Linked DNA regions of Saccharomyces cerevisiae S288C. The gene in region 1 interacts genetically with each later gene. Each region holds a gene or a part of one and is shown in the gene's direction. Other genes may lie near its edges. The genes, in order: YPL088W, AZR1 and YOL029C.

The links.
Region 2: mutations in YPL088W (region 1) and AZR1 together harm fitness more than expected from each alone (negative genetic interaction), as found in Saccharomyces cerevisiae (one large-scale study listed by BioGRID).
Region 3: mutations in YPL088W (region 1) and YOL029C together harm fitness more than expected from each alone (negative genetic interaction), as found in Saccharomyces cerevisiae (one large-scale study listed by BioGRID).

The regions. Positions count from the first base shown.
Region 1 is NC_001148.4:380,032-383,506, forward strand, and holds YPL088W (aldo-keto reductase superfamily protein), read left to right. Parts: upstream 1-1,933; coding exon 1,934-2,962; downstream 2,963-3,475. Other genes in the region: RLM1 (Rlm1p), read right to left, coding at 1-1,119; YDC1 (alkaline dihydroceramidase), read left to right, coding at 3,424-3,475. UniProt on the Saccharomyces cerevisiae protein: Putative aryl-alcohol dehydrogenase.
Region 2 is NC_001139.9:940,885-945,147, forward strand, and holds AZR1 (azole transporter), read left to right. Parts: upstream 1-1,921; coding exon 1,922-3,763; downstream 3,764-4,263. Other genes in the region: phosphatidylinositol-3,5-bisphosphate binding protein HSV2, read right to left, coding at 1-1,331; AMA1 (Ama1p), read left to right, coding at 4,261-4,263. UniProt on the Saccharomyces cerevisiae protein: Transporter protein required for adaptation to high stress imposed by low-chain organic acids, in particular by acetic acid, and for resistance to azoles, especially to ketoconazole and fluconazole.
Region 3 is NC_001147.6:269,283-272,161, reverse strand, and holds YOL029C (uncharacterized protein), read left to right. Parts: upstream 1-1,741; coding exon 1,742-2,347; downstream 2,348-2,879. Other genes in the region: ribosome-binding protein MDM38, read left to right, coding at 1-159; YAP7 (Yap7p), read left to right, coding at 792-1,529; GAS5 (1,3-beta-glucanosyltransferase), read right to left, coding at 2,521-2,879.

The DNA.
Region 1 (3,475 bases):
AATTTTGCTAGACCTACTTGTTTTGTTTTCTTTCATTATCTGCGAAGAGCCCATACTATTGCCGTTGGCCGATGTGGAGGAGGCAGAGGAGGGTTCACTTGGAATAGCGGAATTACTGCTGAAATTGTTGTTCGGAATTCTCACACGAAGTACCGGTCTGGCGGACAATTTCCTTCTTGCTTTGACAGTCTGCTGAATAGAGTCTTCCAAAGAATTAGATGGTGACTGAGTGTAGTTGCTGTTGTCATTATTATTGCTGCCACTATTGTTAATTTTGTGCTCCTGTTTAGGGGTCCTTGAGGATGCATTTGTAAATGGCTTACTGAACTTGTTCGGTGAAATGGAAATGGGTGGAGGACGACCATTAAAGGAAGAGTTTTGAAAGCTTGGTAATTTTGGAAAATCCATCGTGGAAGGAGAAGATGAACTGGATGAAGGCTGGTTAAGATTGTACATGCTACTATGGTATGGTCTCGATATATTTTGCTGCTGTTGCTGTTGCGGAGTTCTACTTATTTGCAAAGGATCCGGTTTCAATCTTTTCAAATGTTGTAAAGGCGGCAGCGCGTTCTCAGGATGACGTTTATTTTGCTCACTACCATCCATCTTTGAAATGAGTGCGGTCGGGGATAACAACTTCATGTGTGCACTCGGTATATTTTTATCAGAGGCTTTTTTATTCGAATGCATATTTGAATTCCTCTCAAAATTGCCATGATCATCGTCGTCCTCATCATTGTTCTCATCATCATCATTTTCTGACTGGTTCATTCCTTTAACATTTGATTTCGAAGGCTTATTTGACATAGACGACCTGAGTAGGTCTTGATTTATGTTAACGGATGCACTTTTGTGAAAGTCTCCATAATCGGAAGGATCTTTCACTTCGTGAAGCAAGTTTTTGTCATTTTGGTAGTGATAGATTAAATCATTCGTATCCACAGAGGAAAACTCATAGAACGTGTTATTGGACCCCAGTATAATGACGGCTATGTCTACTTGACAAAGAACGGATAGTTCATGGGCCTTCTTAAAAAGGCCAGCTTTACGTTTTATAAACGTGACAGCCCTATTTCTGTCATCAGAAATTCTCTGGATTTCAATCTTCCGTCTACCCATGTTGTATCTATAGTATAGTTTTGCGACACTTTAATATTTAAGTTTTTTTCACGCTTCAGCCTGTTTGCTCCGGGGGATATTAACCTCACAACGTGATAGAAACCTTGAAAAAAAAAAAGAATAATTCTGCTTGCCAGCTTTCAATTACTTTAACGAGTCAAAAGTTGAGTTGGCTATCAGGAGTAGGCAGTTCTAATTGAATCAGTCGTTGAACACTTTAGAACAGGCTCGCTTCTTTCTTACGTTTCTTTTTGTCTGTCCTTTAATTATTATTGTTCAGAGGAAGATCGAGCTGTTTCTATTATTAGCTTTCATCTCTTCCGTTTTATTTTTATCAGAAATCTGAAGTAAATTTTTTTCTTTCTTTCTGCGGCTTGGCATTCATCACCCGGTGATGCTGCGCCGTTAAGAGAGCCCAATAATGATAAGACGATTTCTGCATTTAATATACGACTGAGACAGACTTCGTCACCGTGGAAGTATTTTTTGCGAACGTGGAAGTATTTCACCCACGTATGGCAGGCAAGAACGCATTTTCAATAACGTTATTTCCACGGAAAAATGTGATTAGTGTAGTAGGTTAGGAACGGGAGATAACTCGGCCGCTTGGTTTGAATTTGTTTCCCTTCGATTTTGTTTTCATTGCTTGAGTAAAAGAAGCTAAGCTAACATCTGCCTTATTCTTCTCAGCCTTTTCGTATATATATATATATATATATATATATTAGGACCCAGAGAACAAGGTATCATATATTAATTGTCTTGCCAACTATGTAATTTGGCTGTTACGGAAGACCCACATCAGGCGGCAGAAATGGTTTTAGTTAAGCAGGTAAGACTCGGTAACTCAGGTCTTAAGATATCACCGATAGTGATAGGATGTATGTCATACGGGTCCAAGAAATGGGCGGACTGGGTCATAGAGGACAAGACCCAAATTTTCAAGATTATGAAGCATTGTTACGATAAAGGTCTTCGTACTTTTGACACAGCAGATTTTTATTCTAATGGTTTGAGTGAAAGAATAATTAAGGAGTTTCTGGAGTACTACAGTATAAAGAGAGAAACGGTGGTGATTATGACCAAAATTTACTTCCCAGTTGATGAAACGCTTGATTTGCATCATAACTTCACTTTAAATGAATTTGAAGAATTGGACTTGTCCAACCAGCGGGGTTTATCCAGAAAGCATATAATTGCTGGTGTCGAGAACTCTGTGAAAAGACTGGGCACATATATAGACCTTTTACAAATTCACAGATTAGATCATGAAACGCCAATGAAAGAGATCATGAAGGCATTGAATGATGTTGTTGAAGCGGGCCACGTTAGATACATTGGGGCTTCGAGTATGTTGGCAACTGAATTTGCAGAACTGCAGTTCACAGCCGATAAATATGGCTGGTTTCAGTTCATTTCTTCGCAGTCTTACTACAATTTGCTCTATCGTGAAGATGAACGCGAATTGATTCCTTTTGCCAAAAGACACAATATTGGTTTACTTCCATGGTCTCCTAACGCACGAGGCATGTTGACTCGTCCTCTGAACCAAAGCACGGACAGGATTAAGAGTGATCCAACTTTCAAGTCGTTACATTTGGATAATCTCGAAGAAGAACAAAAGGAAATTATAAATCGTGTGGAAAAGGTGTCGAAGGACAAAAAAGTCTCGATGGCTATGCTCTCCATTGCATGGGTTTTGCATAAAGGATGTCACCCTATTGTGGGATTGAACACTACAGCAAGAGTAGACGAAGCGATTGCCGCACTACAAGTAACTCTAACAGAAGAAGAGATAAAGTACCTCGAGGAGCCCTACAAACCCCAGAGGCAAAGATGTTAAGTTAGATTTTCATGGGCCCACTGATATATAGAAGGCTAAATAACGAGAATCATATATACTGTAACATGACACCTGCTGATTTTTACTGATCGTAGCCATTCGGCTCATATTACTTCATGTCCCTTTTTTAAATCCCTCGTTCCCGGAGAGTGGCATAGCATGTCCGATAGCGTACGCCAACCTACAGAATCAGGGGATCAGATTTCCTGAAAGCAACTTATCCATCAGTTTCTTTTTATAATGCCATAATGACAGGTGTGCCTTTCTTATTTTACTTCGCTTGCTTTCTTTCTATTGCATGCTTCAATCTTTGAATATTTGCTAATAGTGAAAAAAAAAAAGGAAATAACTATCTGGTTTATCTGCATTGTTCTTCGTTTTTCAATTCAAGAATTTAAGCAAAAGGATATATCATAGAACCTAGTGAATTTTTAAGAAAGTAAGATAAAGAAAAAAATCAAATGCTGTTCAGCTGGCCTTATCCAGAAGCCCCGATTGAAGGTTATTGGGGCA
Region 2 (4,263 bases), on another chromosome or scaffold:
GATTCTCTCACCAACTCCCATCTGGTGGGCTCACCCGCTGATTTCGTATCTTCGTTCCTCAAGCTTTCATTCAATGAATAATGCGTTTTCGATGAATCTTGTTGTTCCTTCTCCAAAATAACAAATTTCTCCCATATCCCAGAATTTTGCCACACCAGAACCAACGAATCGTCTTGTTCTCTATTATTAGAGTCTTGACACCAGCCAATTCTACATCTGTCTTTATAGAACTCGTTATCGTGAGTTACATCACCACTGTTGTCATTTCTGTGAGCGTCAAAGATTGGGTTCTTTAAGTGAGCATTGCATATCGACCACACAGAGTCCAAATACTTGGGCCTCCATAGGCCCTTCGGTATATAATTTTTCAAGGGATGGCTCGAACCATTGGCACGAGAGTGGTCTGGTGTATTCGTTTCTGTATTGGTTGTTTCAAAAATTTGGAAAATATGCAATGTTTGCTTATTTGACAATACGGCCAACTTACTACCATTGGGGCTGAAACTCATCTCGTAAATATCCGCCTTGTCCACCCCTCTTCTAAATTCTTTGATTAAAGTACCGTTATGCGTACTGAAGATTCTTATAAGTGTACCCTGGACGGAACATGTTGCTACCATGGTGCCTTGACGGTTCAGTCTAACCAGTTTGATGGGATTTTTATGTGCTTTAATGATGGAAGTGGGCAAAAGCGCTGATTCCTTCGGGTTTTGTGAATTATATTTTATTTGTGATAGGTCGGCTACTTGAATTTGGCCTACGCATTTATTCGATGGGAATGCAATGATTTCTAAGATTTTAGACTGTGACTGCGATGCTTGCGACTGGAGATGTTTGCTGCTACAAACGACATAGTCCACTGATCCATTGGGAGGGATATCCAAAATAGGACAAATTCTTTGAGGATTGGTTTGAAATTGGAAGATCTCTATTGTGTTCTCCAGGACTACCACAATATGAATCCTAGATAAAAACACGTCTTTAATGGAAGACATAAACTTCAAAGTAATCGTTTCCTTTTGCAAAAGATCATCCCAGATGATCAGTTTATTTAGAGCATGCCTTGGTCGTTTACCACCTCCGACTAGTGCGATGTAATTCGTACGATAAAGCATCCTGGTATAGCCAATCCCAGTGCCCCTGGATTGGTTGGTCGCAGACTCTTTAAATGTTTTCGATAGCTTACTAGTCAATGGATCTGTATTGAAAATACGAAATCCATTCTCTAACGCCACGCTGAAACACGAATCATCTTGGTTAAACGAAACGCTCAAAAATTTTGGTTTCCTCCTGTTGTTGACTGCCTCCCTTATAGGTCGACGAACATCCATCTGCTAGTTATGTATGCTTATAGTTGTCCTCTAATAATCGCTGCCTTTCCAGATCTTCTGGTTTCTCTTCCCTTTAACAATAGCCCCCGCAGTACGTATTACTAAGGTAAATAAATATAACCGGCTTTACAAGCCAGAAAGCCGTGATCACGTGATTATCAATTTCTTTATTTCATTTCGCTCAGATACTGCCAAAAGCCCCTGATCTTGAACACAAAGGTAAACAACGTTAATATGAACCTGGCTATCATCATTAGGATAGGCTCATTTTCTCTTTTTAACTCAGGCCCCTTTCTTGCACTGTTACCATAGGATCTTACCAATTTGCATTATTTCCGCCAACTAGCGGATATCCGCTGTATTTCCGCGCTTCTATATGCTATGGCTGGAAATACAATAAAAAGTGTCAAGCAGAACCACTACATTAATTTAAAGAAAAATGTCTTATATCAAAGAATCGGCACTGTATCAATTGATTATATATAATGCTAGAGTTTCCGTACCCTCTTGCAACGTCCTTTAAATCTTGTATCTTTTCTTCTACAATTGTAGTAACACCACGTCTACATTAGTATCTAAATTGCAGCCCAATGAAAGGCGAACCTAAGACTTACAGCATGAGCGACCTCTCATACTACGGTGAGAAAGCACAACAACAGAACGAGAAACAGCAAAAACAATATGTTGTGAGACGAAATTCTACGCAGTCAACATCAAAACAAAACGTGAGCGTGGTGCTCGAGGACAACGCCAGCGAAAGTAATGAACTACCTAAAGGGTTTATCTTGTACGCATCTTTGATAGCATTGGCTTTGTCGCTGTTTCTGGCAGCCTTGGATATCATGATAGTTTCTACAATCATTGAAGAAGTAGCTAAACAGTTTGGATCGTACTCTGAGATCGGGTGGTTATTTACCGGGTATAGCTTACCAAACGCTCTGTTGGCGTTGATATGGGGAAGAATTGCCACACCTATCGGATTCAAGGAGACCATGCTATTTGCTATTGTCATTTTTGAAATCGGGTCGCTGATCTCTGCTTTAGCAAATTCAATGAGTATGCTCATTGGTGGTAGAGTTATTGCTGGAGTCGGCGGTTGTGGTATTCAAAGTTTATCGTTCGTCATTGGTTCAACCCTGGTAGAGGAGTCGCAGAGAGGCATACTAATTGCTGTTTTGAGTTGTTCGTTTGCTATTGCATCTGTTGTTGGGCCTTTCCTTGGAGGAGTTTTCACCTCCAGCGTCACATGGAGATGGTGCTTCTATGTTAATTTACCGATCGGTGGCCTAGCATTTTTCTTATTCCTGTTCTTTTATAACCCAGGTTTAAGTACATTTCAAGAGACAATGGATAACATCCGCAAATTTCCATCACAGTTTATCGAAATTGTTCGGAATGTAGCATATCATTTATTGAAAATCAAAGGGTTTAGCAAACTTAATGGGTGGAGAAAGCCGTTCATGGAATTGATTTTCATGTATGATATTATCGAGTTTGTGTTTTGTTCAGCTGGATTCACATGTATTCTATTGGCTTTCACATTTGGCGGTAACCGGTATGCTTGGAACTCTGCATCCATCATTATTCTTTTCATCATCGGTATAGTCCTGGTAGTGTTAGCAGGTATCTATGATTTCCTTGTCTTCCCCAAATTTAATATAGTGAAAGCAACACCACATTACCAACCATTAATGTCATGGACAAATATCAAGAAACCAGGTATTTTCACGGTTAATATAGCCTTGTTTCTCACTTGTGCAGGATATATCAGTCAGTTTACGTATATTGTGCAATACTTCCAATTAATTTACAATGATTCCGCCTGGAGAGCCGCTGTACACCTGGTTGCTTGCATTATTTCTACAGTCGTTACAGCAATACTTTGCGGTGCTATCACCGACAAAACCCGCCAAATCAAACCGATTATTGTTATTTCAAGCATTTTTGGTGTTGTTGGTGCGGGTATATTAACCCTATTGAACAATAATGCCAATAACTCTGCTCACATCGGCCTTTTGATATTACCTGGCGTTGCTTTCGGTGGTTTGGCACAAAGTTCCATGCTCGCTTCTCAAATTCAGTTAGACAAGAAGAGCCCAACTTTTCGATCAGATTTTGTCTCTATTACCACTTTTAACACATTTTGCAAAAATCTAGGTCAAGCACTGGGAGGTGTCATCTCTAACACTGTTTTCAGTGCTGCTGCTATCAAGAAATTAACCAAGGCTAATATTCAGCTCCCAGATGGTACCACGGTAGACAATCTGGTAATCTATAGGCAGACCAATTTCGATGGCTCTCATTCCAAATTGGGCAATATAATTTCTGAATCTCTCACTGACGTCTTTTACATGGCATTAGGATTTTATGCATTATCTCTCATTTTTGCTGTTTTTGCTTCAAATAAGAAAGTCACAGCAAGCCTGAGATAAGTTAAGCACGATTTAGAAGGTGGCGAGCCTCAAAGTGTAAAGCTGCAGAAAAAATAAACATGACTTTTAGTAATTGGCTGTTTAGCTTGCTGAATTGTGTACCACAACTAACGATAACAGTAAGAGGGTAATCCGAGACAGTATGAGTACAGCTATTAAATAGTTAATTTAGATTTTTATACTGGTATGATAAACGACGTTCATATAGCAAGAGCGTCAATGCCTCTATGTCACCTTCAATAGAAGTTTCCCTTTTTATTTCGACTTTTGTTTTTGTATTTTTCGGCGTCTGCCTTGTTCCATTTTTAAGGCGCCAAAAATAAAATAAAATGATGAACGATTAGTACTCAAAGAACACTTTAATCCTTGGAAACAAAAAAATAAAAAATCAAAAGTTGAAGGAAGGTCAAATTTTCTTCCTCCAACGATAATAATACTTGCTTATATAACTCTTTTAAAGTTTTACAAAACTTTGGATCAGAAAAAAAGAAAAAAATATG
Region 3 (2,879 bases), on another chromosome or scaffold:
GAAGAACTAATAAAGAAGGAGGAAGAGGAAGCTAAGCAAAGAGCTTCGAGAGAGCATGTGCCAGATGATATCAACCTAGATGAAGAGGAAGAAGCAAAATCTGTACCTCCCATTCCGGCCGATCAAGCTGCGAAGACTTTTGTCATTAAGAAAGATTGATATTAGATCAAAGCCTAAGAAAAAAACTAAAAAAAACTAAAAAAAAAAAGTCAATCGGTTCTCTTTTCTCTGACAACAATGGCAAAAGATCAAAGAGAAGCGTACGTCACGGCAAAACCAGCGACCCTTCAAAACTAAATTATTATGCATGTATATAATAGACACCCTATCTAAACTACCGCCTTATTTTTTTTTTTATACAGGAGCAAAGTGTCTTTTTTGTGATGGCCACGAGGGTCCTTTCACTCATGACTCCTTAATCAGCATCTTATGAGCTGGATTTTCATATATCGGCGATTTTTTTCATCGGTAATGCACGCAGTAAAGCTGCTCGCTCGAGAAAAATTAGTAATATATGGAAGAAGAAGCATAAGCATAAAAGAGAAAATCCGCTGCCCCACCGTAGAAAGCAAACAAGGCTATTGGTTATTCCTCTTTTCACCTGTACTTCAATCTGTAGCACATCATCATAAGAGGCTTGAAAGTTGCTCAAGAACAGTTTCAACGGTTTTTTCTTTTGAAATTTGAAAATTGCTCTTCGTTTGTTGAGCCGTTATCAAGGAAGTAAATCATCAATTAAAGAATATAGAAAGGCACAAAATTTTGTCATTTACGCACACTTTCAATGGATCATGAGACAACGAAGGTCTGTAGTAGCAGTTAGCGTAAAGCCCAAAGGCTTCAAATTGGGGCATAAACAGGGTTCCATGTCTACGACGTCTCCACCTCCATCCTCACCAGATGGAAATGTGAGTACATCAGGACCGTCAGCTATTAAGTTATCCAAGAATTGGGAGTTACCACAGCGCCTAAAACCGGGCCGCAAACCGAAATCCAAGCGCGGGGATGCATCAGCTAATAATGATGGATCGTCCAAGATAAAGAAGGTTCAAACTTCCAACCAGAAAGACCAAATGACCACAAAAGATCATGAGAACGAAGGCGCAAAAGGTCATGAGGGGAAATCTGATGATGAAGGCAACGGAAGTGGTGATGAAAACGGTGTCGATAGCGTGGAAAAGCGAAGGAGGCAAAATAGAGATGCGCAAAGAGCATATAGGGAACGCAGAACAACAAGAATCCAGGTTCTGGAAGAGAAGGTTGAGATGCTACACAATTTGGTCGATGATTGGCAAAGGAAATATAAACTGCTGGAATCTGAGTTTTCCGATACAAAGGAAAACTTGCAAAAATCAATAGCATTAAACAACGAATTGCAAAAAGCCTTGCCTTTGATTGTTAATACTCCATTTCAACAGCAGCCAGAAAACCCGCCAGACAATCCTATTTCGATATTAGAAATGGTAGAAAACTTTAAACCAATCGGCGCTGTCAGTTTAAAAAAAGGAAAGCTGAAGGCCCATTGTTAACATCTCATGTGCCCGCGGTATTAACAGACCAGTCTTTGTCTGAGATTGATATAGCCAACGATTATCAATATCTGAGCGGCAGACAGTTTAGTTCAACGAATTCATCGCTTGATGGCCATATTAATTCACCTCTGTCTTCATGCAGCAGCAGTATCAATGCATGTGCAGGCAGTGGCAACAAAAAAATAAAATGTTGTAGGAATAAAGATGCCATGAAACCAGTAACATGTTGCAACCAAAAGAATAACATAATGCCATCCTTAGTCCCCGTTTGCTGTTCAGAAAAGAAAATAGAATCCGATGCTAAGAAATCAATATCGAAATGCTGTGGAGACAAAGAAATCTACGATAGCGAGAATAGACCGATCACTAAAGAGGATGGGTCATGGATACCTGGAAGCTGCAAGCAATGTAGATCAGACCCCCATAGTAGGAATTTTTGTCAATCACTTTCGAATAAATGTAGTTCAAGCTCTTTCTCTTCCAACAGTGCGTTGTCACCGGATCTAAATGAACAACAAACTGACGTAAATTACAATTCAATCAAGCTACCCGAAATATGTTCCTGCAAGAATGCACAAATGAATGCGGCTTCCGATGCAAAGAGGTATCTGCCGATCAGTTACACATATCAAAAAATCCGTCAACATATGCAAAAAAATAAAAGTATCCAAGAACAACTAAATCCTGAGGATTCAACTTCGATCTCATCAGCGTTAGAGAACATTGCATCTGGATTGCACGTTCGTGGACAGAAAGTAGAATTGCAAAGCATCAAGGATGCATTACATAAGATGGACAAAAACGTCTTGGAATGATGTATTTAGAAAGAAAAGAAAAGTGGAAGCATAAATAGTGCATATAGATATAGGTATATATATGAATTTTTTAATAATAATATTAATGATGTTTTTTTATCTTAAGAACATTAAAAGTAAGCGGCGCTAACGGAATAATTAGAAACAATGTGGTAAAGAACGGGGGTGAAAACTCATAAAACCAAGTTATAAAGTTCTGCCAAAGCACGGAATATCAAAGGAATCTCAATAATTCCGGCAGCACCCTTTGATTTCGAGGACGATTGGCTGGACGAAGTAGCAGATGCGGCAGATTTTAGCAAGCTCGTTTCGCTAGCAGAAGGGGAGGAGGAAGATGCCTTTGAAGTCGAGGATGATGATTCAGAAGATGAAGAAGCGGAAGATGAAGATGAAGAGGAAGAAGAGGATGAAGAGGAGGTGTCGTCGTCTTCTTCGTCGTCATCGTCCTTAGCATCACAACTTTGTTGGGTGGCGATTCCGGTTCCCATAGGAGAACCTGCTCCAGATGTGAAGTAAGCAGAAGCAGCACTTG